Arabidopsis thaliana: one gene and its partners. The protein of the gene in region 1 interacts with the protein of each later gene in a pairwise test. Each region holds a gene or a part of one and is shown on either strand. Other genes may lie near its edges.

What was found.
Region 2: the proteins of AT5G20030 (region 1) and AT3G11590 interact in a two-hybrid assay, tested with the Arabidopsis thaliana proteins (one large-scale study listed by BioGRID).
Region 3: the proteins of AT5G20030 (region 1) and ARCK1 interact in a two-hybrid assay, tested with the Arabidopsis thaliana proteins (one large-scale study listed by BioGRID).

The regions. Positions count from the first base shown.
Region 1 is NC_003076.8:6,763,466-6,773,713, reverse strand, and holds AT5G20030 (Plant Tudor-like RNA-binding protein), read left to right. Parts: upstream 1-7,011; 5' UTR 7,012-7,182; intron 7,183-7,267; exon of another isoform or gene 7,268-7,672; 5' UTR 7,673-7,677; coding exon 7,678-8,061; intron 8,062-8,146; coding exon 8,147-8,743; 3' UTR 8,744-8,987; downstream 8,988-10,248. Other genes in the region: AT5G20045 (uncharacterized protein), read left to right, coding at 1,557-1,790; IPT9 (isopentenyltransferase 9), read left to right, coding at 2,734-2,988, 3,161-3,214, 3,320-3,362, 3,467-3,575, 3,690-3,888, 4,036-4,261, 4,491-4,603, 4,984-5,078 and 3 more; RAN2 (RAS-related GTP-binding nuclear protein 2), read right to left, coding at 9,333-9,750, 10,103-10,220.
Region 2 is NC_003074.8:3,655,779-3,667,598, reverse strand, and holds AT3G11590 (golgin family A protein), read right to left. Parts: upstream 7,302-11,820; 5' UTR 7,102-7,301; intron 7,003-7,101; 5' UTR 6,972-7,002; coding exon 6,489-6,971; intron 6,436-6,488; exon of another isoform or gene 5,814-6,435; coding exon 5,691-5,813; intron 5,325-5,690; coding exon 4,062-5,324; 3' UTR 3,865-4,061; downstream 1-3,864. Other genes in the region: AT3G11600 (E3 ubiquitin-protein ligase), read right to left, coding at 1-262; AT3G11591 (bric-a-brac protein), read left to right, coding at 3,628-3,819.
Region 3 is NC_003075.7:7,143,731-7,153,992, forward strand, and holds ARCK1 (Protein kinase superfamily protein), read left to right. Parts: upstream 1-4,393; 5' UTR 4,394-4,538; coding exon 4,539-4,608; intron 4,609-4,655; exon of another isoform or gene 4,656-4,699; coding exon 4,700-4,797; intron 4,798-4,884; coding exon 4,885-5,095; intron 5,096-5,186; coding exon 5,187-5,424; intron 5,425-5,517; coding exon 5,518-5,656; intron 5,657-5,733; coding exon 5,734-6,042; 3' UTR 6,043-6,195; downstream 6,196-10,262. Other genes in the region: AGL14 (AGAMOUS-like 14), read left to right, coding at 1,907-1,985, 2,277-2,338, 2,442-2,541, 2,907-2,948, 3,062-3,103, 3,223-3,378; AT4G11900 (S-locus lectin protein kinase family protein), read right to left, coding at 6,511-6,801, 6,900-7,050, 7,330-7,567, 7,677-7,887, 8,011-8,165, 8,243-8,377, 8,444-9,812. UniProt on the Arabidopsis thaliana protein: Forms a complex with CRK36 that may negatively control abscisic acid (ABA) and osmotic stress signal transduction.

The DNA of each region.
Region 1 (10,248 bases):
ACACAATTATGCATTTCAGTATACTATTAGACTGTTTCTGTCTGGTTATTGGCTAGTTTTTGTCTTGGGTCAACGTTTTGTTGTGGTTAGTTAAAAACCTTTTTGGCTTCTTCTTTTTTTTTTTTGTCAACGGATATCAGCCCTATGATGTCCTTCCCATTGGTTGGCCGACTCTACGCTTCACTTTCATATATTTTTTTTGGCTCGTAATATCCAATTTTGACTTCTTCAAATTGAAAATTTGTCACAGAAAAAGCTTTAACCACAGGAAAGGAGTAGCCAGCCAGATCAAGATTGAGTAGAGCACGATCAGTCAAAATAAGTTGCTCCGTATATATATCTTTTCCAAATAGAAAGATGAAGTTTACTCTATGGGCATACCACTCTCAATCAGAGGCTGTAGCCAAGTAGGTATTACGTTAATAACTGAATAACCAAAAAGATCAAGAAAATAGTCTATAATGACCATTCTAAATTCTCAATAAGGGAATATTGGGTATGCATATATGCAATGTATTTTTTTATATTTTCTTTTCATGCAAGCTCGTAGGAAATTATATGTAATTTTTTCACAGGTTAACCAAGAGTTGGTTGGATTAATTAATTGACGCAGGCCGGACAAAATCTATGAAAAACTTATGATAGTACTTGTATTCTGTACATGCATCCATACAACTTGTATTCATAAAGCTACAACATATATATGTAACGGAGAATATGGACTACGTTATCTTGTTCTGGTGAATTTAAGGCCTTGAATTTCTTGATTAATAAAAATTTGATATTATGGTATAGCTAGCATGTATTCCTAACTAGCTAGATATTGTTAGGATGAATATATATATTTAAAGAAGTCCGTTGTCATATGAACGCGCATTTTGACTTGTGGAAAAGATTCACATGCATGTGCACCTTTAAGTTCGGTGCAATCAAACAGAAATCTTAAATTTTTGAACGAGTTTATATACCTTAGTGCTTATTTGTCAACGCTCTATGTCTCGATTTATAATGCGTCTATGCTAATATAATTTAGTGCAGCCAAAAAATTAGTATACAAACAATATAACTCCTTGTAGTATGTGACTTTTTCATAAAGCTAATCGAAACAAATGAAAGATTTTATGACCAAAAAAGCAAAGAAAAAAAAAGATTTACGACCACAATTTTACAACTGTTAACTAGATCAAAAGAATTTAAGATGCAATTTTTTTTTTGATATCTTTCATTTTCAAATTTCAACTCTTCTTGGGGGGATAGCCGAATCGTATAAGTCTTGCTATCAAAAGCTATTTTAACAAGTTTAAATTTCGTAAGCAAAGTTCACCTATCATATTCATCATAACTTAAGCCATAACTTCAGGAGTTTGCATGCAACATTAAATGTCTCCAAGCATACTATACGCTTTGACTTTTGAAATCTTATATATAATGTTGATATTGTGACGAATAGAAATCCTTATACATACAAAACTGCATAGTGGCTAAAGACCATATATATAAGCAGATCACCGTTCGTATAATATATAGTTTCCAAATCCAAATTAAGGCGCCATAAGATGCAAAGGTTACAAATAAGTTCTCGGCCATCTGAAGAGTTTCTGATTAACCTCTCGGTGGATTCCGCAAGCCCTGACGGTCTCGTGGTCTACGACGACATAGCCAAGAAGGAACTGTCTCTACACAACAATAGTTACAAGTCTGCTAATGGAGAGAGAGCTATTCACCTAATCCCTATTGTTCTCTTTCTATGTGGTTTTATGCTTTGGGTTTTCTCAAGTGCAACTATATAATTACTATGAAGCTACGCCACATAAAGGAATGAACTTTTTTCATTTGTGAATTGTGATCACTTGAAATTTTAATTACAATATTTGCTTCTATAGATTCTTTATTCGTTAATTAGTGTTAACTTTCACGGTTTTACTTGTTGTTTTTTTGTCTCTTACGGTCAAAATAGCCACGAAAGATAAGAGGTAAAACTTTTATTTGATCTTCGTGTCCATCTTTTGACTAATTCGTGGCCAATGATCAAGGAACAGTCGTGGCTACAAAGGATATGACTTATTCGAGAGAACAAGTGTACTTAATCAACATATATGATCACTATGGTGCATCTTCAATAAACTACTTGTCTCTGTATATGACTAATTTTACATGTTACATCTTGATATTTCTTTATGTATGTTTGGTTTTATAATCCCGATCCATACCCAATTCCTACTACATAGGCGAGGTTATACGGCTTAATAGAGTCGAACTCCGATAAAAATGATAAAATCAAATAGATTTAAGAAAATGTAAAATCAAATGAACTTAATCACTTGACTAAAGACACATCCTATAATTTAAATTTTCGAATATATAGATGGATCGAACCGGTCGAATCCTACCAGCCCGACCATAAAAAACCTAATCATAGGACCCTGTAATTGATCAAAAACCATATGTAATTGTTCCATTTTTTGGTTGTGTAAGTAATTAACACGACATGATAACATCGTTTATAACTGTCTAGGTTTAAGTAAACCGTTTAATTTCGGTTCGCTTGTTCGGTTTATGTGTAAACCTAACCGAACCGTAGTTCTCTAATCCCTTGCTCACTGTCTTCGTCTCTCTTCGAGATGAGCTTTCGCGCGGGTCGTCCTCCTTCCCTTCTATCAACCTCAGTATATCCGTAGCAAACTTGTGCTATCTTCCAAATTCTAAATTTCAAAGCTTCGTTATCCGTTTATAATGGTGATTGGCAGTGGCGTATTTTTGACCCGTACCTGTTACTTGAGACTTCAACCGCCAAGCCTTGTACTGCGCCGGAGATTCTGCGCAGCCACCACGGCCTGCTCTGTTCCTCTGAACGGGAACAAGAAGAAAAAGTCTGAAAAGGAGAAGGTGATTGTGATTTCTGGGCCCACCGGCGCAGGAAAGAGCAGACTTGCCATGGAGCTCGCTAAGCGACTCAATGGCGAAATCATCAGTGCTGACTCCGTTCAGGTCCATTTTCTCACTTGTACTCTCTAAATAAGTTACAGCTCACTTGAAATTTGAAACCTTGTTGAGGATAATTGCTAAAGTTGAAGTTTTTAGTTTTATCAATTCCAGAACTTCGCATCTATGTTTGGTGTGGATTAAAAAGGTTCTTGCTTTTGTTTTACCCCAATCACAGGTGTATAAAGGCCTTGATGTTGGATCAGCCAAGCCATCAGATAGCGATAGAAAGGTATCTTTCTGAAATATTTGGTAAGATTTATTCATTTCTATCTCACGTTGGTGCCGTTCGTGATCACATTGTATTTGAAAGTTGTATGTTTTACGAATTATTCAGGTGGTGCCTCATCATCTTATCGACATTTTGCATCCGTCTCAAGGTATTTGTCGACTTTGTTGCTATTGCAAATGCCACTAGTGTAGATGCTTCTGATACTGATGTATGTAAAGGAAGAAACTTACACATTTTTCCATGCTTTGTTAGACTACTCTGTGGGGCAATTTTATGATGATGGAAGGCAAGCTACCAAAGATATTCTTAATAGAGGGCGTGTTCCCATTGTTACGGGTGGAACTGGATTGTATCTGCGATGGTATGGCTGTAGATTATATACTTGTCTAGTGGCTCTTTCGTATAATGTTAAAAGCAATTATAGTATACTGCAAAATCTAGAATTCATCCATTTACATGCTTTTGTTAATGTTAGGTTTATGTATGGGAAGCCGGATGTGCCTAAACCTTCTCCAGAAGTTATCGCTGAGGCCCATGATATGCTAGTTGGTTTTCAAACCGAATATAACTGGGACGCAGCTGTGGAGTTGGTGGTCAATGCTGGTGATCCAAAAGCTTCTTCTTTACCTCGTAATGATTGGTACAGACTACGCCGTAGCCTCGAGATACTCAAGGTTTGACAATTATTAACTTCAACTGTTGTCTTGCCCTTGTAGATAAATGATTTCTTGCCTGATAGGTTGATGAACTATCATTGTTTTATTTTGGATTGTATGCAACTATGCACTATTAATCTTGCTTTGAATGTTTTTTCCTGGCAGTCAACTGGATCGCCTCCGTCTTCCTTTCGCATTCCTTATGATTCCTTTCGAGTAAATTTAGTTGCTCCTGATGCTGATGACTTCCTTGAGGACGGTTCATCTGCCGATATCTCTATCCAAAACATAGAGACAGATTTGGACTATGACTTTCTTTGTTTTTTCTTGTCAAGCCCACGGGTTGCTCTCTACAGATCTATTGATTTCAGATGTGAAGACATGCTTTCAGGTAAAAATAAGTGCTACTACTTAATTAGTAATAACTTGCAAGAATACAATTGCAGCCCCATTGCATGGCACCTTACAGTAATAAGTCTTTTCTTATCTGATTCTTCTAATTATAACCCAAAAAAGAGACAATTTGCATGCTCTTTGCTGTGTCGTATGCAATTTTGTATATATTTGCTTGGCATTGCTTCTGAGTTTATCTTTCCTTGGTGCTTTGTCTCTCAACTCAGGACCCAATGGAGTTTTGTCAGAAGCTAGATGGCTTCTTGATCTTGGTCTTCTTCCAAACTCAAATCCTGCAACTCGTGCCATTGGGTACAGACAGGTGAACTCTTTATTTCCTGTACTGGGTTGTGAATAACGAACTGAGAAGAGAAGGCTTTCTTCTGTTAATCTAGTGCATAGTCTTTATAATTAGCCAAGGGCTCTGCAGTGGATTGTAGCTGTTAATTTGGCAGCATGTCCAGTTCAGTGAAGAATATGGATTTGGTTCTAGAAATTGCATGACTCCATGTTATATAACAGTTATTTTTCGGTTTAAGACATATAGCCATTACTATTAGCATATATCATCATCCACTTATACCAAGTTGGTTCAGAAAGGAAGTCCATTCTTATTTAGTTGGAAAAATGAAATACTTTACGACTTCATCATTGCAATTTATTTGTCGTACTTTGATACCGTTTTTGATCAACAATGGAAATATGATTCCTTGTTTTCAGGCCATGGAATATCTATTACAATGTCGTCGATATGAGGGCGAAAGTTCCCCTAGAGAATTTTATGCTTTCTTGAACAAATTTCAGACAGCATCCAGGTGAATCCTCTACATAGACTTGAAATATCTAGTGTATTAGCTTTTGGACGAAATAGTGATTGAGAATAAATGAAAGTCGAAGTTCTGTTTTGATTCTTTCACATTGATTCATTTCTTCACTTTTTGTCTCCTGCAAAAGTTTAAAGAACCCATGTTATCCTCTCTTATCGCTTTTAAACTAATACTTGGTTTGCTTGATACGCAGAAACTTTGCAAAAAGGCAAATGACATGGTTCCGGTGTGAGCCTATGTACCACTGGCTCAATGCTTCCAAACCTCTGGTATATGTTTAAGAGGGCTCTCTCTGTTCTATTCAGTCTCTTATATACTATCAACCAAGCATTGTGATAATTCATTGTTCTGGCAGGATTCAATACTTCAATGCATATACGATGCTTATGAGAGCGAAGCAGAGATGGTGGAGATACCGGAGTCTCTAAGAATGAGCAAAGACGTAAGAGATTCTCGAGAAGCTTCTGAACTAAAGGGGTATCGCTCCAAAAACAGGTACAAAGATCAAACATAACACTAAATTAGGCTTTCTTTTGGTTATTAAATTCTTCTTCGTTTGGTAATGGGTTGAATCTCTTAATGAAGGCATTTCGTAAGACGAGAGGACTGTTCTTCGGTGTTAGAATGGATCAGGAGTGAAGGATGTAAGAGTGAAGCTTCATGCGTGGAAAGCGCAATAGCATAAACACTGCTTCATTTTATCCGGAAAAGCCAAAACCAAAACCAAAACAAAAGTGTGTTTTGCTTATAAACTTTTTACGAGTAGACAAGATTTTGGATCATGTTCTTGAGTACACGTATGAAGAAAATATTGCACACCCTTCTTTATTCATGAGCTCATACAATTAGGAAGCAATAATGATTTCCAAAAAAGAGAAATTCAAAAGTTGTAAAATCTTATGAACCATTAGGAGTCGCATTCAAATAATTCTAACACTATTGTTCAGGTGATGACACAATCCGTTGTGAAATCAAGAAGATATGAATAAGTACTGCAAGGGAAAGACAAACTAAAATATAAAATTTGATCGTTAGAAGCCAAAAAATATGGACCCTACGATCTCGATAATATTTTTTATGACCAAAAACTCAAAAGTGAATTGGGAATTATGTAAAGCCACCTGACCTGACCATCCCCATTACGTTTTTTTTTCCTTCTTTTTCTAATAACTGTTTTTAAATTAAGTAAATATGTCGAAACTTTTGGCACACCGGAACACGCACTTTGCTCGTGCTCACCTAGAAACAAACAAATAACGTAACGTCAATACATATTGATAAACTGTTATACTATGAATTACAGACTATGATTATCCTATAATTACGTACATAAGTGTGTAAGTATTTGATATGTCGAACCAATAAGACGAGCAAGGGATATGTTAGTCTCAAAATAATGATAACTTTCAGATAAGGTGATTAAATTTATAAATTTTGCACTTTCGTTATGTTTAGTGTTATCTTAGGCTGATCAACACCTAGATTACAACATCATGTTTCCAATTAATCTTCTTTTTCTTTTGGTCAACTCATATCAAAATCATTCATTGAATTAATTAAATGCTATACACCACTCCTATGAAAAATAAACCAAATCATAGAGGTCTAATTAATGTTGAAACAATTCTCTTTTAGATATCTCAAATATAAGAAAACATAACAAATTCAACTTTTAATCTTTTACATATCTTCCAACAAACCATCAAGTTATTCTCACTTATCAAATTACATTTTTTTTGGTTATTTTACACAAAATAGTCCCATATCAAATAAAATGAAACAAAAAGGCTATTTCTCATGCAACTTGAAATATTCTCTTCTTCATTTTCTTAAAAATATTTTCATTTAAAAAATGATTTTTGGCTTGCTGCTGCTGATGTGGAATATACATTTATCTTTTTTGTTCCTTTTGATAATTATTTGCATATACGTTTTTAATTTTGTTTTATTTGCCCTTTTGATCCAAGTTTGGTTGCCCAGAAATATCAAAGAAAAAAAAACAAAGCTTTGTTGTTTCTGGCAGTAGAATCATTCATGGCTTTCTTTGCGTGTTAAACATTCACTAACCTAAAAACTAAAACTTCGTTTTCAGGTAATCACAATCACAATCTCAAATTTATTTTTTTTTTCTTTTTTTTTTAATTTGAATTTTTGAGTTTTAAGTCTCTTCATGTCCGCTTAAAGATTTTTGATTCTCTTCCCCTAATCAATTTCTCAGTAATGAAGATTGATCCTAGGAACTGAGTCATACTCTGTTTTCAATTTCATTAACATTTCAAGCCATTGTATGCTTCTGGATTTGGTTTTTTGCAATTTAGGACTTTTTCTGCAATCTAGTGATTATGAAGCAAAACAATCTGTAATCTTTATACCAATTGGTTGAAGTTGAATTTTTTGGATGTGAATGAGTCTAATGGATCTTATTGGTCCAACTTGTTTCTGGATATTTGGATGTATTTATCTTGTTTTGTTGCTTAATGATTGTGAAGCACCAGCCTTTTAGCATATGTGATGTTCAATTCTGATCTTTATAAGCAGTTGGAATGTGAAAAGATATTTACTTTAAGGTGTTTTTGAAGCAGCAATCATGAGATTCAACAAGGGAACTAAAGTCGAAGTGTTGAGCAAATCATCGGTTCCATCTGGCGCCTGGCGGTCTGCAGAGATCATATCAGGAAATGGGCATTACTACACTGTCATGTATGATCATAATGATGGTACAGAGAGGGTACCGAGGAAGAGTATGAGGCCTGAGCCTCCTCGTTTACAAGTTCTTGATGCTTGGTGTCCTGGTGACATTCTTGAGGTTTTCCAAAGTTGTTCGTGGAAGATGGCAATCGTTTCCAAGGTTTTAGGAAACGGTTGTTTCTTGGTTAGATTACTTGGTTCCTCACTGAAGTTCAAGGTGACTAAATCCGATATTCGGGTTAGACAATCTTGGCAAGATAACGAGTGGATCATGATTGGACAGGTACTTGTTTCTTTCCTCTGTGACTATATCTTTTTAAAGTCTGTTTTTGAGCTGACATTTTGTTTATTTTACCATTTGGCTGAAGGGTACATCAAGATTAAGCGCACAGACTTCAACAGGAGAACTAAGGAGAAAGGTGAATCCGAAAGGCGACTACATTTCATCTGAGAGCAAAGACAAGCTTGATGAGTCTGATGTACCTTTGTCAGTAGGTCTAAAGAAACGGACTTACTCTTTGGTTGAACCTCACAATCAAACTAGAGCTTTAGCTGCTTATCCTCCAAGGTTTCGTGAAGAAGTGAAAGAAGAAGAAGAAGATAGAGAGAGTGTTGCTTCTTCTGTTGGTAGTTGTTGCATGGATACTGATGGTCTCAGTGCTGTTTCATTCAATCCCATTGAAACCGGTAACTCTAGTGACACAGAGTCATCGTCTTGTGGCTACGGGAAGGTCAAGAAGTTGGTGGTTCCAAGAAAAGGCTCAGAGGCTGCTGATGTTCATAGGTTAGAGCTGGATGCATACCGAAGCAGTATCGAGAGATTGCACGCATCCGGACCAATCATAACATGGGAACAAGAAACGTGGATTACAAATCTCCGTCTCAAATTGAACATTTCGAATGAGGAACATCTGATGCAGATAAGAAACCTTATCTCTGACGATAACAGTACTATATACAGATAGCAGCAGCAGCAGCATTGAGAACTACAGTTTGTGTTACATAGAATAAAAACTGAGTGTAGATTGTACAAATGTCATTTTATTTTTCATTCAGGTTTTTTGATTTAATTCCAAACTTGTGAAAGAAAATTTGATCATCTTTACTCTTTTATCTTTGCGTTGGACTTGAGGAAGACTAGCAATGTATATATGATTCATGCCATGGCCTAAAAGCTATACATAAAAAAGGAGATGAGAAGATTTGTGTACGTAATTGAAACACTAGTGATTAAACTAACAATTTCAAGTAGCACAGCTAAATATTCTCCTTTTATGTTTGATTCATATGACCAAGTAGCTACAATAGTTACAAAATCTAAAATGTTGCAACTGGCAAAGTAAAAGAAAAGTGGGTAGAATCAAAGTTTTCCAATAACCGCATATTCTTTAAGGCAGAAAAAACTTGACTGCAAATTCTCTTTGGGTCCCAAAAAACAGAACAATCCAAATAATTCCCCCAATTTTGGTTCTAAAATAGACCGATTGATTTATATGTAACATCAACTCAAAAAACATCATAGAGGAAAACCACAGCAGACATTTTTGGAAGATTTTACTCAAATGCGTCATCATCATCATCGGGGAGAGGCTGAGCTGCAGCAGCTGCAAGATCGGCCTCATTCTGCTGCTGAGCAGCAATGTCAAGGTGAACCTCTGGTGGAGCAAGAGCTGGTGACTCCACAAAGTGAAGGTTCTGGTCTCCAGCCAGTTTCCTAGCAAGGTACAAGAAAGGCTTCTCGAAGTTGTAGTTGCTCTTTGCTGATATCTCATAGTACTGCAGATTCTTCTTCCTGTGGAATGTGACTTGCTTTGCCTTCACTTGCCTGTTCTTCACATCGACTTTGTTTCCACACAGAACAATCGGGATGTTTTCACACACCCTGCAAAGATCACGATGCCATGTCGGAACATTCTTGTATGTGAGCCTTGCTGTGACGTCAAACATTATTATCGCACATTGACCATGGATGCTGCAAGAAAACCGAAGATTAGCAATATATCCAGATGGAATATCAAACAAACCATTATCATTCAAGTCCCAGTCAGCTATTCCTATTGTCCAGGTAACAATAGTTGCAAACATGACATGTGAGATGGTTCTTGAATTTCACAACCTAACCAGCGCTAATCAAAACAATGCAAACTTTAATAGATATTGAGATCTTAACAGATTACTTCAACAACATACGATTCCTATTCCCACCGTCCAGGTAACAAATCGGTTGCCAATTTTACGCACAAACCAACCAGAGCTAATCCAAACTATACACACTCTAGATTGAGTATACACACAAACATATCAATGGAGATATGTATACTTACTAGTATCCATCCCTAAGGCCACCAAATTTCTCTTGTCCAGCAGTATCCCAGCAGTAAAAACGGATCTTTCCGCAGTTTGTGAAGAAATCCAAAGGATGAACCTCCACACCAATAGTAGCTGCAACAAACAAGATTAGGACTCAACA
Region 2 (11,820 bases), on another chromosome or scaffold:
CGGTGCTTTTGCATTTAGGACATTTAGGGTCATCATCAGAAAGCATAACGTACATAAGGCAACGAGGGCAACCCACAAGAACCATTGAGGTTATTGTCTCGTTCTCCTCCTGGTTAGTTTCAGATGAAACGCATGAGCTTGGTGAAGTCGTGTTGGATCGGTTTGGTGATCGAACAAGACTCATCTGGCTGGCTTGAGAAGGAGGCGGCGAAAGATTCAGCCTCAGCTCGAGCTTAGGGCCGTTCTTGTTCCTCCGACTCATCTCTCTCTCTCTCTTTCTCTCTATGTGGGATTGAGAAAGAGGTTTTGGTTTTATTGAGAAAGTCGTCTTCTTGTTGGTTATGCTTATGCCATTTTATAAAACAAACATAAAGTTGGTTAGAGGGAGAGAGAGAGATATATTCATTAAGGCCTAATTTAATTATGATAGGTGAAAATATATAAATAATACTCCAACGATAATAGCTAGAGAGACTAGCTAGTCTTTAACTGCGAACAATTATAGTAACTTTTTACTTTTGAACATCGCAAATACTACTAAGATTCAAATAATAAAATTCGAATGAAAGCAAACCATATGGTAAAAAAGAAAAAAAATCTCAAGTCCGAGAAATTATTTTTAATATCCTCGACAAATTTTAACTGAAAGTAACAGTACTTTTAAGTCTTTAATTGCTCTGTTAGTCTGTTGACAAAAGAAGAAAAGAAAAGAAAACGTCTTTAATTGTTCTAGACAATCTTCATTGACACGGAACTAGTCGAGCAATATACGTGCTAGATTTGTAGACGTAAATCATTCATTCTAATCATACTTTTTAGTACAGTCTCAAGTAATCTCAGCTTTCTTCAATTGGTTATATTAGTAAATGCTTTAACTGTTATTCCATTTTGTTGTTATTTTTTGGTAGCTAGGTTATATATACACCTCTTTGTGTACGTTTATGTATAAGTGTAAAGATTATGTGTATCAGTGTATGTTTGTAAAATATGTTTTCTGAAAAAAATACAGAATAGTATTTTAAATGTATTAAAGAGAACAGATATACGTATATGTAAAAGGTGTCTTAATCGAAGCAGGAAAAGAATTAAATGTATATATATTAATGTTAATCACAGGATTACAAAATCTTCTAAAGAAACTTACAAGATACTAAAAGAATGGCTACGTCAAAGTTAATTGTTGTGACTGCAATATCACGTAGCTTCACACCAAAAGCAAGCTATTAATATTGCAGTGTGAGTTAATTTCCCATGTGAAGTTATTTAATGATTTTTTATTTTATTTTTTGTAAGAAGAAATTGGTAAACACAAATTTATAAATTTTCCTATTAAAAACAATAGATAATAAAGATAATAATAACACGGAAGAGGTAATATCTTCCGAACTACTAGTATAATAAAAGCTGACAACCTTACAATTAATTTCATTTAATTGAAACTATGACCATGCTTGGCTGGATTTACAATTAATGTTAAGAGATAAGTATGAATGAAAACCAATGTTCGGATTTGGTATCTTATGTAACAATACCTGTAGAAATACATGGAATTAAAATGTTAAAATAAAGAGAACCAAAGTTAAATTACAGTTATTTTTGTCGACAAAACAGAAAATAAATTAGCTTTAATATTTCTTGTCTTTTTGTTTTTGTAAAAAAAATATTTACACAATTATATAGTTTGATACATTGCTTAATTGGTGGTCATGAACTATACTTTTACATTTAAAGATTAAATTTGACCGTATCTGAACATGATAGACGCGTGGATTATAATAAATACGGCTAATTAAATTAAATGCATATCATCTAATGATTCAGTTTAGTTGACTAAAATCCCTTACAAATACGTAAATCTTTAGAAGTGTAAACGACATGGACAGACTAACCAAACAATTTGATAATTTAGACATTTTAGCTTAATTAATTTACTTATTCTCAACTTCACAATACAAAAGCTAAAGTAATTATTGTCACAGAGAATATGAATGATTCTCAAGTCGAGTAGAGCAATTAACCGAATTAGTTTTAAGAATTTGTCTTTGTTAATCCTATCGTTTTGTAAAAACCACTATTACAAATGCTAAGAGAAGCAAGATTAGGAAAAACTTTAATGTTATAGTGAAGGAAAATGCTTCTAAGAACAGAAAATGAAAACTAGAGGGAAGATTAGAGGACTGAAGATTTTGCTTTATACATATACTAATGTAATATTATAACAACTACGACATTAAAAAATCAAATCAAACCAGTTTTATGCAAGATTGTACATTTTATGTCCAATGTCTAACACTATTAATTTAGAACAGTAGTTCTTTTTCGGTCTCTATTTCTGAAAACTAACAATAGATTTTAATTGATATAGCTACTCAGTAATTTTTTTGATCTCAGATCTCTTAAAACAAAAATTAAATTTACTTCGTTTGACAAGACCTTCAGATCTTTCAGGCACATGAATCACATTAATATATGTGCAATATCATAATGTTATCAATATCGAACCAACCTTAACTATAATTCATGCATTTTAGGTTAAGATCTAAAGTTTTTTCCATAACTCTTTTTATCTATGAAACATAATGTGCGAAGGTCAAAAGCGGTTTAAGGCAAAAATTTAAATTGTTGCCTTGAATACATATTTTTCTTTTAAAGACAAGAGTTTTTTTTACCATTTTTCAAATATTCTCATTGAAAATGAGATTTTGTGAGTTAATATCATGAAAATCAAAAATAATTTTCATAAATGTTAATGTTATGATTTTTTTTTTAAAAAAAATATCCTTAAACACTAATTTTAAGTAAATACTAGCCTTAATTTTTATAAAGATGTAGCCTATTAATATTATATTGTTGATCTAAGAGATTAGACATTCTACTTATTTTAGTAGCTATAATATGATTTCGACATAAGCTTCACGCTTTACTTACAAAATGTTTAGATTCATAGCGAGTAAAACGTCGTAGAATCAAAGCTCAAAGCCAAATCTTAGTCCTCCTCACGAGCAACATTTTTGCTATGATGTTGAGCTTACTCCGGATCTTTCGTTTCTTGGCTTTTGATCTTACAATACAATAAGATTTAGATCAACAAACCCACACACAGACCATAAAAATCAACAATCAATCATATATTGCTCTACAGTCGTGGGATGGCGACGAAATCTGTGTTACCATCTCCGTTCGGCTCGCATTGTCCAGACTCGTCGGAAGTCCTATTCCGAAGAATATTCGCAGATCTGTTGGCCGGCGGCTTTTTTGGATTTTCCGATTGAAGATTAGGGCTTCATAGTAGATCGGTTTAGTCAGTTTATTAGCTCGGGTCGATTTTGATTTAAGAGCTTGGTTCGGTTTGGTATAGTTGATTGGGCTCTTTTCAAATTTTGTATGGATCTAAATTCGAAAATAATCCATTAAACCATTGTTTATAATATTAAATAACCAATAACAAAAAAAAAAAAAGTTCTCGCCTTCTCGGTTTAATCTTCATTCCTTTTTTTTAATACTCTTTTTTTTTAATTTGTTGAGAAATTGGAGATTAAAAATAAAGCCCAAAATAAAATAAAAAACCCCGGCCCATTAACAGTTAGTATTAAACAGCTTTTGCAACAGACGGCGGTAAACGATAAGATGGTGTTTTTTATGTCGTATCCGCCGACACGGCGGCAGTTAGTAGTGTCGGTGGGTTTTTTCGCGGCGGGCGTTTCTCTCTTCGTCGCCGGAGCGTATCTCTCACTCGCCAACATCTCACCGCAACAAGCTCGCGTCAAAGCTCGTAATGATTTCGTCAAGGATCGAATCAGGAAATGGCTCGACGATTAGTGTCTTTTTTTCGATCTTGTAGGCGTTCTAACTCTTAAATGATATAAATCAAAAGACGATTTCGTGTAAATTCATGCTCTTACATGTTTGGATCATTACCAGTTCAAATTCATGTTTTATGTCACTTACAGATGAGAGAATCACTCTTGACAAAACGAGCGAACAGAGAAAAAATGTAGATGTAAAGTCTTTAGATTCTGTTATCTCTGCGCTGAAAATGTGAATAAAATTTCTTGATCATATTACCATCTTGATTTTCTGGCATTCTGGTTCTCGCCTTTCGAAGCATCCGATAACCGCGACTTTGAAACAGATCCACCGCGGAAGTTACTTAGTCTCGAACCCGAGAGGATATGGTGATCTTTTGAAGAAGCCTTGTTTGGTTTATAAGCTTGTGTTTCATCTATATACCCTTTAGGCTCAACGTCAATAGATCTTCCCCAATCCAACCCTCCATCTCCACTTTTTTGAAGCTTCTCGCTCTGTACAACCCAATCAACACAATCCGATATGCTTCTTTGTAAAGAAAGGCTTTTCCTTGGCGTTGATTTTCTTCCTCTGTTCTCTTCACCATAAGGCCATTTATAGCTCTTGTTGTCTATGTTCAGTTCTATGGAATGAAGGTCGCTTTCGCCTGAACCTTCTTCATTTCCATTCTCGACTTCTCCATCTTCGATGTTATATGATCCAAAACTGATGTGATGGTTTAAATAATCTCCAGCCTCTTCGTTATGTAGCTGAGTTTGAGGTGGTTCACGGGTCTTCTCTTTACATCTTTTTGCTTTGAGGTAAGTTTGAAGCTGGTTTCTTAGCTTATCAACAGCTGCGTTTTTCTCCTCGAGCTGGTGTTTAGCCTCCGATAGTTTCATCTGTACTCTCTCTTCCCGCAATGCATCTGCTAACTGCAACATCTCTCTTTCCTTTTCGACTTCTTCTTTGACTTTAAAAGATTCTCTCTTCAGTTCTTCAACTTCGGCTTTGTCTTCGCTTATGTCTCTTGCTAGTTCATCACAAACTTTCTCAACCATCACTCTCGCTCGCTTCTCGTTCTCGATTTCTTTAACTGCTTTCATCAGAGCTGATTTTGTTTCAGCCAATTCTTTGCCCAATTTCTTGTTCAAGCTCTCAAACCGTCTCCTCAGCTTCCTCTCCACTTCTAGCTCACCAGCAACAGATTCGATTGCAGCCTCAACAACTTCTTGCTCGTTGCTTTTCCACACAGCTTTCTCTTCGGCAAAACGCTTCATCAAGTAGCTAATGTCGTTGTTTTCCGGTTTATGTTCGTGGATTAACTGATTGACCTGTAAGCGAGCTCTTTCGAGCTCAGAATGTAAAGCAGAGACGAGGGACATGCTAGAAGATGGGCGGTCGTCTTGACCCCACATTCTGTTAATGATTTTGAGAAGCTCTTTTGATGTTGTGAGAGCGTTACTACAATCCTTCAACCGTGTTTTGACACCCACAGTTGACCCAGTCGGTGTCTCCACCCGTGATCGAGTCTCAATCTGCATTGGAAAAACACATTTCAAATATTTTTGAACATCACTCTCTTGCACACATATTGATTTATAGATGATGGAGGCAAATTAACTAATCATAACGGATTGAGTGTCTCCTAGTTTCTTATACCGTTATTTGCAATGTTTCTGTGCATAACAAAACAAACCATAGATTATGTGTACGTATGCTTCCAAAGTAAAAAAACCAACAGCCTCTGGAGCCAATAATGCTCAATAATATACTACTTTCATCCTTAATCAAATACCAAATTTGGTTTGAGAAAATTATGAAAACTGCTAGAAGAAAGGGTTCCTCATAATGCTCAAAGAAACATCCCCAAGAGTGAAAAAAAAATAAAAAAATCAACTTACATCCATGAAGCTGCCACTGTTAATAGGATCCCTAGCCCCCACATTGCAGTCTCCAAGCCTAAGCTTTTGCACAGTTGATGAAGCTCTTCTCTGGCGACTCCCAGTCCCTGATCTTTCCATCCTCTACAAAAATCAACAAGTTTCTCAGCTATCCAATTACCTAACACACAGAAGTAAAGAAAGCAGAATTCTTCGCATTGTCCATTGCCAGATTTAGCATTATATATAATTTTTCTTAGGTCTCCATTATAAGAGAATCTAGGCCTACATTATTCACAATAAATCAACCTCTAAAAAACAACCAGCTACCTCCATATGACCAACGAATGAGAAAGAATAAAAACTAGTAGAAGTGCCCAATTATGCAAGAATAATAGGCACCAACTTATAAAGAAACGCCCTTTCATATAAACATAAATGTGCGTTATAGAGCACATGACAAAAGATTCTTAAGATCAAAACAGTTTTCTATTCTTCTCTAATCCCACTCCTTAACATCAACCAGAAGCTTATACGAATAATAATCTCCCTTGATGATTAAAATACTCATAGAGGTTGCCAAAAAAATCACAACTTTGACTAAATTCAGACCTTAGAATCACACAAAGATTATCAATTTTATCAGTTAAAGATGAGATCTTTATAACTTCCCCGAATCAATCAATACTATACTATATATATTATTGTTTTTCTCTCTCTCTTTTGATCGGTCAGAATTAAAGCACATGGCAGCCAGCAAGAAGTTGGAATTACAGCACATTCTCTTCCTCTCAACCAATCATAACCAAAGCATTTTACCTCAGAGACTGGACTATGCGACGGATCAGAAAGATGAGGCGGTAGAGAACCAGAATGAACCGATGATCTCGGCGGAGGAAGCGGCGCGATTCTCTCCTTTCTACTCTTTCTAATCATTGGCGCAGCCTCCTCCACAACTCTAGGTGAAGGCATCTCGTTCATCTCCCAAAGCGTCGCAGCTAACTTCCTAGCTGAAACAGGAGCAGGAGCTGATACTTTACCGGTTTTGCTCCCGCAGTGAGACGACGGAGAAGCAGCAGCGTGTAAAGCACCGGAAGCTCGTGGAGAAGGAGATCGACCCATAAGTCTCCATGTAGGTACAGGAGTAGTGGATCCTCCTCTTTTACCAACAACTATCGCTCTTTTGAATCTATAACCTTCACGGAGAATCGAAGAAGTCGACGATGTCGGCGAAGAACAACCACGTTTCCTGATTTTGCCAAGTAGAAGTAGATTCTCTACGCTTTGATTCTGCCTCGGCATATTCAAAACAATTGTAGATCTTTCTCTTTACCTGGAAAAACAAAAAGCAGATTCAGAAAATTTCACCGATCTGTTAGAAAAAAGCACAAAGACCAAAATTGAAGTTTTTAGAGTGAGTAAGAACACTTACAGAAACTTCAAAGCATTTCTATGGCTTCTTCTTCTACTTCAGAAGATAAAGTTGGAATGGGAATTGGGGGAATTTGGAAAGAAATGGCGGTTGCTGTGTTTTGAGGTTTTTTGATCAGACTAGTGTACAGAGTGTTATGTTAAAGTGAAAAGGGGAAAGATGACAGGAGTACTCATCTTCTGTGATAAGGAACACTGTAACATGTCCACGTGGTTTGATCTGTATGGATTATGGATGTTGCTCCGTGATTTACAGGGTGGATGATTTGTAAACCGACTTAAACCGAAATAATTGAATCGAAAACCGGAAATCACTTCCTTTTTATCGGTCCTGAAATAAGAGATTCTCAATTAGAAAAACAAACTAATCAACAAATTTCTTTAGTGAAGAACAAACTTATATAAATAGTATTTAGCAGTAAACATTATTTATATTTGGTTAGTATATGGTAAGAATTCGAATGAAATAGATCCTAAGTTCAATTTCACATGTTAAACCAAAAATTATGTAGATGTCATGAATTTATATCCATATTTCACAAAGTTTGACGGCTCATTGAGAACAATTATTTTCGATTAGAAGAAAGTCCATCTGCCTAAATAAAGGGAACTAGTGCATCTAATTTTATATTTGACCAAAAATATTATGCTCGTCTATGATATACTATGGGTTAATTTGGAGATTGGATCGTGTTTGTACTATATAGGGTTTCTTAAATGACGTGTTTGAGTAGGATGCATTAGATTTTAATCATTTGATACACAATTACATGAATCGATAAAAGACCAAATAATCTAAGGTTGTTCTTTTTACCAAACCAAGATTTTTAGGTTATAAGAAAATAGTTCCTTTAGTAGATTCCTAATGTGGACCAAAATATCTTGTTAATCTCATGCTTATGACTCCTAAATCATATGATCATGTTCCTATATGAGGTATATAATATACCATTTTTCTCCATTAGACGAGTGTGAGTGAGAACCGGTGTGCTTAAGTTACTCATTACAAAATGTGTCTACTACTATTCCAAGTATATAGATATTCATTTCAATAGGTTTTGAAGTTTTATCTATACCCACAATTTCACAAATCACAACCCGTTATAATTATAAATGAATATTGATATTACAGATTTACACTCGTGTAATTGAAAAATGGATGACCGAAGTATTCATGTGAAACCATGAATATTAAAATGCATGTATTATTTTTTTTATAGCAGGATGATCAGATATGATTTCCTAGTTTTCAAGATATTGCATCCATAAAATTCACAAGTTAATTATTTGATCAAACTAAACAATTGAAACTGTAAACGTTACAAAGAAAGATAACACGGCCACACTTTTTTCCGTTGTCAAATGGACACGTCCAAGTGGAGGAGATGATTCAACATACACAATCGTACCGTATTATTGTTCAACTCTTTATTGTTGTAAACGTTTTTTGTTTGGGTCAAGTCTCTTTATTGTTGTAAACACGATTCTTTCTATAGTACTTTCTGTCACATAAGTTTTTTTTTTTTTTTATGGTGAATCCGGAAACAAAATCTGTTCGAAAAGACAATTCAACCTAGAAATAGTTGGATCTACATCATATCAAAATATATAGGTAGCAATCAATATAAAACATTAAATATATGAACAATGTAAGACTATAGTGTTAGATACAATTGCGTACAAAAAGTTCAAAATATATATGAGTCAGGCCCAACTAAGATATGAATGCCCAATAAAGAACTAAGAAATTGGTTGCCAGAACTGTATTCCTATGGGAGTCTTCTTACTTCTGACTTCTAATTTCTAACAACAATTTAGTTTTTTTTTTCTCTTTTTTTTTTTTTTTTCTTTTGGCTGTCAAAGATCTAAGTTGTAATAGTTTTGTCATTTGATGAACTTTTCAATTGTAATAGCTGACTCAAAAATTTACCCAATCACCATCAGTATACCTTATGGTATGAATGCATGAATCTATGGTCTACCAACCATCAATCTTTCACTTGCTCCATTACCCAACTATCAACATCTACTATGATATATGACAGAAATGGAAAACGAATATAAATTCGTTCAATAAAATAAAAAATATATATGTAGTAGATAAAGTTGTGGTTGAACCTATGAATGAATATTGGATAGATGTGCAGACAAATGTGTGGAGTGTGGACCTTTGCCGACTATTGCATGTTTTCATCTTTTGTACCGGAAGGAAAAAATAACTTACCATTTTCTATTACCTTTATAGCTAGATATACAAATTTATAGAAAAATAAGTAGTATTAAAAAAGAAAAGAGAGAGAAAAAAAAAAGAAGAAGAAAATCCAAAGCGTGAGGGTAGCTTTCGGATAAACACAGAAGATTGTCTCCATTTTCTTTGGAAATTTTGGGATCATGGGCGTTTTGTAGGACCCATTACTCTCTCAGCCCTGCTTCTGCCACTCTGTGGGCCCAATTTAAAAGCCCACTCTTGTTTCTTTTCTAAACCACGTGAAAACAAACCACAATATGTTATATTCAATCAAACAAAAACTCTATTATCTCTCAAAGTATCTGTCATATGTTTTTCTAGAAAATTTGATTATAATTTTTCTTTTAATCTGCATTCATTTGTCCACTAATGATGTGTTCCAACAAACATGTTCGCTCTCATTGACGAAGAGCTAAGTCAACAAGTCAACTTGTTGAGAGTTATGAGATGTCTAATCCTAATTATACACATCATTAGAGGGATACATATATATAGGCTTTCATTATTTTTATTTTTCTATTATTATTTATCCCCATAATGTAAGTTCTTTATTAAAACACATCTTTCATTCGTAAAGAAAATAAAGTTAAAAAAAAAAATTAGAAAATACAATAATTTTTTGTTTTCTATAAAAATTATAAGCGAAGGCATCGAATCATATATATTTTTTTTTTAATTAGTCGTATATGATTTCTCTTATGTTTTTATTTACAGTATTTCACACCGTGTATTTATATTGTCATCTTGATTGGTAATGTTGAAGACTACAATTGATCATTTTCATAGGCGTTCGTAAACTACTGATTTAACATTATATTGTAATAAAAGAAGCAAAAGGTGGTTAACTTTGAAATGGGGACTCTCAAATAATCGAAATTTTGATGCAATGTAGAGAGCTCAGAGAGTAGATAGAGAGAGGCGTGCAATTGTGTGTTGTTCTCATTGTCCCACCATCTCTATCTTCTTTTGTTTTTCAACTCTCCCAAACCGCCAAACTTAGCCGTACCTTTTATTTTTGTCTTCTCCATTTTATAACCTTCTTTATTTTAATTTTCTATTAGAAGTAAAAGTTTTAAATGTTTTATCTTCTATAGTGAACAGTGTGTTAAACTTATCATCCGTTATGATTTTTGTAATATACGATCAAAAATAATATTGACTTTTTTAAGTTTATTAAATAACTCTATTTTTTTTTGACAGCTATTAAATAACTCTAATATTCAAATAGAAACCAATAACTTAATGTGAATAAATTAATGAATTATTATATTAGGGGTTGTATATAATGTTTCATAATTGCTTATCTTTCAGTTTACTCTAGTTGTGATATTTTCCATTTCAGTTTACTCTATTGGTGTGTTTTTTCTACGGAATTTTGGTGTTTGTTACTTATTACTCTTGTTTTTTTCTTTCTATACTTTGAGATTTAATATTTTCGGTCTAAGTCTAAGATATCGGCTGCATAAATTTATATCTGAACAGTGCAGATATTTTTATTTTTTAAACCTCTTAACACAAAAAAAGATAAAGATGTAAAAGAAATATGTGTGGTCCACTCCCTCCGAGCATTTAGCTTTGGTTTCATAGAATATACAACAAATAGCTTTGGTCCCCTACTTAGGAGAAACAAATTTAAAATTATATGCAAACTAATTAAATCTCACACGTACATATATAAATATCTGATTGTTACTATTTTACTTTAGGATTGTTCAAAATCTGGATAGTTACTTTAAAGGTTAAACCACTTTTCTTACAATTTTTTTTAAATAAGCAGAGACTGATGACGTGGTTAATGTTACAACGTCTCCCATATAAATATAAATTTTCCTTGCTTGCAGCAACTTTTTAGCTACACATTAATCATAACGCGAGGTCAAACACACATTTAGTCGTTTACCATCATCATAAGTGAAAATATGTCGCAGTTGTAAAAAACAAGACGTTTACTATATATGGTAGTCAAGAGACTGAATTATCTTGTTTTCTACTAGTAGTAGTTCTTATAAATTCGGAGACCAATTTAAACCATTAAGAAAATATTTGAATAGCCATAGATAGGGCTAATATTTAATCATCTCGAACATTGTTGCCGACGTATTTGTATATAATTAACAGCATGCAGGATCTACACCATTGGTTTCAACATGACTCGTTTAATGTGTAGATTTATTATCATAATATTATAACCAATGGATTAATATTGCCATAGCAAGAACTAAAAGAGAAAAAAATAGAAAGACAATTCATAAACCTGTCTTTAATTTGCTAGGGAATGGTGAAAATGTCAGAAATAGAAAAATAAAAAGCAAAAGTAGCAACTTACCCCTGAGTTTCATGAAGCTTCTCGCACCATTCACTTTCCATAAATGACAAACTAGGTTTGTCGTCTTCTGAACATTTTTATCAAAATTTTTTTTGCAGACTTATCATTTTAGGAACCCTCCACGAATTACATGGCAGATTCCTCTC
Region 3 (10,262 bases), on another chromosome or scaffold:
ATTTACTATATACTGATTGATCCGTTGTATCATGATCGGGTTTCTCTATAAAATATTTAACGAAATCCATTAAAATTGTGGTCTAGATTTGATTGATATTGGTTGTTTTATGTGTTTAAACGAAGATCTTTAATTTTTATTATTATTTTTGTTAAGAAAGATCCTTAATTTTAGAGAGAAAGAAAAATCAGATAGATCAGAAATAGAAAGTCAGGATTCGAGATTGAAACGTGGTTCGCACATGGGTCAATGTTTTTCCTTGGAATTGCAAAATCAAAAGAGCAAAGGTGTGTAAATACATGATGAGATATAGTTTGGAGTTTGGACAACTAACAGAAAATTCCAGTAAAAAATAAAACATTTTTGACAAAGAAGAGCTAACCTTGAAATGCTATTCGACACACACATGTAGCACTAAGTTTGAGTACAGTCTTCTTACTCAAATTAGGCAATAAATTCTCATATGAGATAGATTCCATTTTTACTTGGTTCATATTTAACCAGATTTAGAAAAAACAATATTTCCTTCTTTAGAGGTGTGTTTCCCTATTATATTTTTTCTTGTGTATTTTAATAATGTAGGAAGAACTTATACACACTGACACACACACATATACATATACTGTATATACTATATACAAGCACTTAATTACTACTGTATTGATGTACTTGAAAAGTTTTGTTTTCTAAAACATTGGGATTAGACTGCTCATTTTCACATATATGCATGAATTTGGTTATATATTTTGTAATTTGAAATAATGGTGTCACACTAATAATACTGATGAGATTTGAGTGTTTTGATTTCATAGGAAGCTAAGTATTGCATTATATATGCATGTATAATTATGATATAGATTTATATGTACATAATTTCTAAACATATTTCATTTTTATATATATGTACGTACGTAACTACATTAACAGGTATGTATGATTATGATATAGATTTATTATTGTCGACCACCACGTAATACAAGATCAAAATGGTGATCAAAGAAAAATTTATGTACCTTTTGAATTTTAATTATTTTTTATATGTACATGTACCCGTCAATAAATAGCTGACCAACGTTTCTTTTAATTTATTTCTGTTTTGTAAAATTACTTCTCTTTTTTACTCTTGGGCAAAGAGGAATTTTCAAACCAAAAATAGAAAAATACTAACGCTTTTTCTTTTCAAAATCGTCACTATACCATTTTGAATGTGTGTATATGTGGATGCATGCACCTATGTACATTTAGGATTTATGTATGTTTATTCAATATTGAGGTAACAAAGAAGCATTTGACACACTTTTCACCCAAATAGTACAATTACAAAGGCCTCTTTATCTGAGTGATGAGTGATGAGTGATGAGTGATGACAGTGAAGGTGTCATTAGCATGTGTCTAGATCAGACTATGTTGATTCTTTTTATGATTTCTCTATTTGTTATATTTTGTATAGTTATAAATTATTTTGTATGTTTACTATGTGGTTATTTAATTACATGTACGTACTTTATTAGACAAAAAAAAAGAATGATATTTTAGTTTTTTTTTTGAAGCAAGCCAAGAGGGTTAAAAATCAAAACTAACTATAGGTGTTGTTTACACATACTGTATTTACCTGTTAATCAGTTTTTAATTACTTAATTAAGCCATATCCACATGACTAGAAGATATCTTTAACTCAGATTGCAACATTTATATATTATGTTTTAGTTATTGATATTCTTACTTCATTATAAATCCAAAAGATCAGCAGAAGATTGATACAATTTTTATTAGATCACAATACTATAAGCATTATCATTAAATTGTGAGAAATCTAGCTTAGACATTTGCTTCTTAATTATTTCCTTTAATTTGACTTGTTTTTGTTTTTGATATACTGATTTGATTTTTGAAATTTTAATTTCAGTATACCTAAAACAGTAGAAAGATATCAAAAGCGAATACAAGATCTCGGGTCTAACCATAAGAGAAATGATAATTCACAGGTAACCAAACTTCATAGAATTGTTAGTTTATCATGGTTATTTTCATATATATACATTTGCTAAAAATATACTTATCCAGAGCTCAAGTAAAAAGAAATTCTATATCAATATCTAGTACAATTTTATGGTGTAGATCCTTTGGTGTACCACTTTTAAAAAATTAATATACATGCTAAAGTGTATGCTTTATTTATCGAACATGGGTGATAATTTTTTATATTAATATTTGTACTTACAATTTTGGTTAAGAAAATATGTTTTGCATTTCTCATGATCAAACCTTGTTGACAGCAATCGAAGGACGAAACCTATGGCTTGGCGAGAAAGATCGAACATTTGGAGATTTCGACACGGTTTTTGAACTCAAAATACTTATACGAATATTTTGTTATGAATGTAACGTTTACATTGTAAGCGTCTATTTACCATATGTTTAAAAAATATATACATTTGCAGAAAAATGATGGGAGAAGGACTTGACGCATCTTCTATAGAAGAGTTACAACAATTGGAGAACCAGTTGGACAGAAGCTTAATGAAAATAAGAGCCAAAAAGGTAACTTCTAGATTATTGTATATGTGATCATTTCTTAGTTTTAAAATAAAATCTTCACTCTTATCATATGGTTATTGTTTCATCGAGATTTATGACAATGACGTGGTGGCCGCCTGGTTCGATTATCACAAATGAGTTGATTATGTAAACAATATAAACATGGGATCATCCTATAAACACTCCAAATACACACATACACACACACACACACACACACACACACTTGGAGGCATGCATGCATGCATGCATATGTGTTGAGAAAAGACTTATATGTTATCTTCTTCTTCTTTTTTGTCATCACCTTATATGTTATCTTTAATGAGTCTTTTACCAACTAATTTAGCTATTTAATTCCTTAATTTCAGTACCAGTTATTACGAGAAGAAACTGAGAAATTAAAAGAAAAGGTAACATGTAGCTTTTTTATTAATTTAGTACAAATGTATTGGTCAGGTACTAATCATATTTCCCATAATTAAACGGTTAAACCATATTTCATGGTTTATTGTCAATATTTTAGGAGAGGAACCTCATTGCAGAAAATAAAATGCTGATGGAGAAGGTACAAATTAATATTAACTTACGGGCTGATTTATGTTCTCAATTCTCATTCTATTATTATGAAATTATCTGCTTTTTTTCAAAAAGTGTGTTTTAATTTGAGGAAATGTGTGAATGAAGTGTGAGATGCAAGGAAGAGGAATAATAGGAAGAATATCATCATCATCATCAACATCAGAACTGGATATAGATGACAATGAAATGGAAGTGGTGACTGATTTGTTCATTGGACCTCCTGAGACTCGACACTTCAAAAAGTTTCCTCCTTCAAACTAACATATATAGTACAATGCTTATATAGATATTATGTAGGGAATTACTTTTTTCCCTGAAGAAAAATTGATGTTACTTACTGAATTTAGCAGTTGCATAAAAAAAAAGATTACTGCATTTAAGCTTTGCTTTTTTTTTCTTTTTGTTTTTTTCTTTTGTATCGTCTCACCCAACTTTGCAATCCTAAAATAATTTCAGAATAAATTGTTTAACAGGTTTTTTATTTAACATAATTTTTTCATATCTTTTTAAAAATAATTGTTTAGAATATAACTAATTTGATCGATATATTATATGTTCGGGACAAGTTCTTGGAGAGTGAAAACAAATCCGGGTGCGTAGCTAGGTCGGTTCCCTATAATGGCTTTGCGGATAAGATCTCCATGTTTCATGCTAGACATGAAGATGATGTATGATTTATATACGAATAATGGGTCAGTTGGAAAGATTTTTGAATCCTAGTAGAGGTATGGTCTTTTGAACTCGGGAAAAGTTGCATTGCACCGACCTCTTAAAGTCCTTTTACACTTGGTCTAGACCCAAAAATCGTTGGCTTTCTATGATCGGTCTTTGTCAGCGTGTCATTTACGTGACGTGGTTGGTTTGGTTCGAAATTTCTAAGTAGCTGAAAATTCAGTTCCGTTCCTTCCAAGAACATCATCTTGAAGTAGAATTCTTTGTGACAAACAAAAAAAAATGGTAGAATTCTATGGTTATATATATATATATATATATATATATATATATGTTTATTATAACAACAGACCTAATATCTTCTATGTTTTATGTAATATCTATTTATTTTTTGTTATTTATTGAACCTACATACAAATAAAACAAAACAAAGTAAACTTCTAAATAATATATTTTTCATTTTCATTTTAGTTGAAATATAATTTGATTTTCAATACCAAACTATATAATATCAATATTCAGAATAAGTTAATTGTTACGTATTAAAAACAATGCAAGAACAAATGAAGAAGCCAAAATATCCAAAATGAATAGTAGAAGTCAAGGTCAACATAGTGGACTCTAACAATATCAACGAAGTCAACCGTTGAAGAAATTAAATAACTTGTCTAATAAGTTCTTCTTTTTTCTTGGATTAAATACTTGTTTGAAGCAAATTCAGAGACACTGTCTTCGTCTTCATCTTTGCTATGGCCGTTACTTCGCTTCTCGATACCGTTTTCCGACGTAGAAAGAAGAAGTCTACTGAGTTTATAAGCTGTAAGTATTCATGTTTCTTCTTCTCAAACCTTTTCCTCACATCTGTTACAAAACACACAAAACTATGTTTAATTCTACTTGTCTCTACTAGATACAGCAGTTTTCGAATTCGACTTGGACACCATTAAAGCTGCAACAAATGATTTCTCAGAACTGGTTGGTCGTGGCGGATTTGGTTTTGTTTACAAGGTTTGTTTTTAGTGGTTTCGTACGTTGGTTCGTTTTTAGTGTATGGTAAGAAATTGTAATTAAAACATCCTTTTAAATCATTTTCAGGGTAGGCTTCAAAATGGACAAGAAATAGCAGTCAAGATTTTGTCTACAAGTTCAATTAGAACTGAGAGACAGTTTCATAACGAACTTATTATTTTGTCTAAGCTTAAACACAAGAATCTGATCAATCTTCTTGGTTTCTGCACTAAACGAGACCAACATGGTCTTGTTTACGAGTTCATGCCTAACTCAAGCCTCGATTGTTTTATACTCGGTTAGACAGTTTAAAACAGAGTACCCTTTCCAAATACAATCTAGTCTAGTATCAAGTTCTCATCATTAGTCATTGTGGTAATGTGTTACAGACCCACACAGAGCTGCTCAGCTAAATTGGGAGATGTGCCGAAACATTATTGATGGCATAGCTCGAGGGCTACGTTACCTTCATGAAGAATCCGGGTTATGGGTCGTTCACCGCGACATTAAACCTGGAAACATTCTATTGGATTCAGATTTGAAACCGAAAATAGTGGGATTTGAATTGGCGAGGACGATGCAACAAGGTGAAAACGCAGCTGAAACAACTGAAATTGTCGGTACCGTGTAAGTGAAGTTTTGTGATTTAACATGCTTGAGGGTAAATGTTTTGAAGATGTTTAGAGTGTGATGTATAAAACATTTTTTGATTATCAACAGAGGGTATTTAGATCCGGAGTACATACGAAGCGGACGTGTTTCCGTCAAATCTGACGTTTATGCCTTTGGAGTTACAATCTTGACGATCATTAGCAGAAGGAAGGCTTGGAGTGTGGACGGAGACTCTCTAATCAAATATGTGAGTTTATATTTAAGTAAAAGTTTGTATGATGGTAATTAAGTGGTTCCTTAATCGTATGAATTGTCTTCTTTTAGGTTAGGAGATGCTGGAACAGAGGAGAAGCCATAGATGTGATCCATGAAGTGATGAGGGAAGAAGAAAGAGAATATTCGATAAGCGAAATCTTGAGATACATTCACATTGCTTTGCTATGTGTGGATGAGAATGCTGAGAGAAGGCCGAATATTGATAAAGTTCTGCATTGGTTTAGTTGTTTCTCTACTCCTTTACCTGATCCAACATTTGGTAATAGATTTCTTGTAGAGGAAGAAACAAATTGGCCCTGGTCGCCATCTTTATCTCCTGGTCACAGCTCTGTCACGTCACCCATATCTTCACGTTAAGGAGATTGAGTGCTCTGTTTTATTAGACTGACGAGAGTTTATGATGAAAAGAATTGTTGGTTGATAAGTTCAAGTCGTAATTTGCTATTGTCTTCTTCTTTTTGTGCCCAAATCCAGTAAGACCATTTAGGACGATTCAACAATTATTTGATTACTTTGTTTTCAAATGACAAAGAATAAAATATTTTAAAGAACACTCTCAGCATCACATAAGCAGTTTAAGTAAATACTCTTATCTAATAAATCAGGGGATAACCAAGTGTCGTTAGCTCAATTGGTAAAAACCCTACACGAAGCTTATAGGTCGCCGGTTCGAGTGACACTTGAAACGAAACTAATATTACATGTTGTGGTTTCGGGCCTGGAAGATTACAGGCTTCGGCCCAGAACCTCCTGGTATTAAAAAAAAATAAAAAATAATAATAATTCAGGGGATATAGCAACATTTTTACCAAGTATTGTTAATGTTCATCGCGCTTCCAGTTCTGTTTGCGTTGCTTCGTTTATGGAGAATACGTAGTCTAGCTGTTGATCCCCGTTCAACACGTTTGAGAAAGTTGGTTGTTTCGGAATCGGAAGAGTGTTATCGTTGCTCAACATATAAACGATTTGTGAAATCATGGGTCTATCTTTAGGATGATCTTGAACACAAAGAAGTGCGATATGAATGCACCGCATCGCTTCTTCTAAAGAATACGAACAACACATTGGTTCATCTATAATGCTTACACCTTTTGTTTCACACCAAGATTCCCATTCCTGAAGATGATCAACAACATATAGTTTGGGATTGATCTAAGGTAAGTTACGTTTTTATATATGGTAGATAAATGATATTGAACTATAGAAACACTTACATAAGCAATAAGGCTGTGTTTTTGGTCGTTATGAACAAACCTTGTCGCCTTTTTACCCGATATGATCTCCAATAACAACACTCCAAAGCTGTATATATCCGATTTCTCTGAAATCACTCCACCTAATGCATATTCCGGTGACATATAGCCGCTGAAATTAACCGCTTATGAAATTTAATCCAAAGATTCTAATGTAAATACATATAGGTAGTGATTGTTTTTTCCTTTGCATTGACATGTAAAAATTATGTACTTACCTCAGCACAATGTTTTAGTTTTTTCAAACATCATTCATAAATAAGTTGCAAAGACACTAGGAATGAAAAAAAAAGTATGTGTGTTATAATACTGAGAAACATAAACTTAAACTCAACATTTTAGTGTTTGAAACAAGTGGATACATAACTAACTATACGAGATGTACACTTACAATGTCCCGACGATTCTTTGGGTGCTATCATCGATTTGCTTGCAACCAAAAATCCTTGCGGTTCCAAAATCTGAGATCTTAGGATTCATCTCATCGTCAAGTAGAATATTGCTTGCCTTAAGATCTCGGTGAATGATCCTGAGACGTGAGTACTCATGCAGATATTGAAGTCCTCTTGTCGTCCCATTTACTATTTTCATACGTGTCTCCCAATCCAATTCCCTAGACTTTAAAGAATCTATATAGATATATATATATGTGTGCCCAAAAACAGAACGTTAAGAAGTCAATTATTTATATTTCAAATTCAAATGTAGTAGTTTTGGATAGTTATATTCACCACTCACCAAAGAGTAAACCATCAAGGCTCTTATTCGACATGTACTCATAAATTAGGAGCTTCTCATCGCCTTCAACACAATACCCTAAAAGCCTCACCAAGTTCTTGTGTTGAAGCTTTATGATCAGAACAACTTCATTCTTGAACTCTGTCAGACCTTGACTTGATTTTTTTGAAAGCCTTTTGATTGCCACTTCCATCCCATTTGGTAGCTTTCCCTGCCCATCAAAGTTTCTATAGTAAGATTGTAACGATGATGATATTCAAACTAGCTACTTTGTTTAAACCTTTAGCCAAACAAACTTACAAGCTCAGTATTAATTGTATTGTTTAATTAATACCTTGTAGACTGGACCAAAACCACCTTCTCCTAACTTTTTTTTCCTAGAGAAAGAATTTGTTGCAACCATTATGTCATGTAGATTTAGGTAACACATATTTTCTCCAGCATCATCAATTAGGCCACCTTCTAATAGCTCTCTGCTATGTTTTTCGTCTGCGTATAATTCGTGTTTCAGAAACTAGTGAGAAATCTTGTATAGTGATTATGCAAAAAGCTAAAACCGATCTCACCTCTTTGTTTCTTTTTTCTTCTTATTCTTGAAGAAATGCAACAATACAAACCAACGAAACATGCAGCAGTTGCTACAAGTGATGCTAGTACAAGTGGTAACACAATGCTTTTGCCTTTAGAATGTTCTGTTTTTCCTGAGTAGAAAAATGAGTTTAGAGATATCTCAACGCATTCGTTTATTTGTTAGTGAAAATACTCACGGTTGTTTGCAGTTGAGATGTTTGAAGATGCAAGTCTAAGAAAGAATGTGTGTCCCTTATTTGCATCGAGTTGTTGCAGATTGAAAGCATCTTTTGTCCACACCAAACACTTGTTTCCATCATTTGCGTACGCTTGGCAAGAACAATCAGCTACGCAACGTGAGGCACACGTCCTAAAAGTCCCGGATGTCAAGACCGATGCTGTTGTTGGATCAGTGGCTAATTTCATGTTTTCAATAGGAAGAAACTCGTCATTTCGCTTATAACAATGAAGGTATGTTTCCCTTTTACAACCACCAGAGTAATCATTCGAGTCATCAGATCCTTGGGAAAATTCTCGTTTGAAACCAGGAACACATCTACATGGGGGAGGCTCTCGGTTTTCATTGCAAATCCCAAATGATCCACAACTGTTATAAACGTCACATCTATTATCAGGTTGAGACAATATCACACGCCACGACTGTAAGTCAACGTGCCAAACTTGCAGCATGAACTGCCCCGAAACACCCATGACCAAACGATATCTGCTCTGGGGATCTACTGAAAAGGTGATGTAAGACTCATCCATATTCAATGTGAAACTCAACTTAGTACCTTGCAATTCTGGAAATCCCTTGAAACTTTGAAGCCAATCATACAATGGCCCACTGGACCAATATGACTTTGATCTATTCCAAACCGTGACGAGTGAGTGTAGTTTAGGGTCAAACTCGAGAGAGTATCGACCCGGTGATGGATCTATCAAGCTCTCCCAAGAAGTGAAAAGTTGGCTTCCTAATCTGATTTTACCGCCAGGAAGCCAAGTATCCGAGGGATGATCAAAACTCTGCCACAACACAGCTGCAGAAGAATTAGGCCCATCTCTCAATACTAGATTACCACTATCAAACAGAACAGCTTGAACATCCTTGCTCATACTAGAGTTAACACCGGTCGACCAAACTGTTTCATGGAAAAGTAAGTTTCCTTCTGAGATCTTTTGAGGGGATCTCCGAGATGTCCCCTCCGTATGAGATTTACGGGTGGCGCTGATATTATCATGGAGAATTAAGTTTCCATCTAAGATCTTTAATAAGTAAGTAGAAGCATCCCCTCCAAGAGGAGATTCTCGGTTTGCGACCCAAACAATAGTCTGTGGAGAGACGTGCCTGTACCACATTCCTATGTAGTAGTTTCTATGATCATAAGTATCTGGAGTTGGGGTGAAGAGACCGAGTTCGAATATATCACCGCTGGAAACAATGGTCTCAAATCCTGAAAGAGGTTGATTGGTAGAAATAGTGTCAGTTGAAGAAGAAACTTGAAAAGACAAGAACACCAACACTCCGTAGTATAATAAAAACACATTCTTCTTGCAAATCTGCATGTTTGTTTTGAAAATAAAAGACAGAAAGAGTCTTCTTGGCTCACGAGTCAACTAGACTACAGAGTAGATGAATAACAAGTTGTTCTTGCAGGTCTCCACGTTTCTACACCACACGATAGTTTGAAGATAAAAGAGGTTTATGTAACATAATTACATAATGAAAGAGTCTTCTTGACCCTCGAGTCAACTCACTAGCAGCGTAAGTCAAGAGCAAACTTCCAAATTTCAGGGAAATAAATGGGATAATAAAAATCTCGATTAAAGGATAATTTGATATAGATGATATGTCCCCTTGTTATTTTCTCAACAAATTCTTATTCACTCATAGCCAAAAAAATTTTAACAATATGCCACGGAATTAAAAATAAATTAAAATAAAAATAAAAAGATAAAATAAATTAAAATAAAAAAATAAAAAAATATGTATACTTTTAAGCTTAAGTACATTCC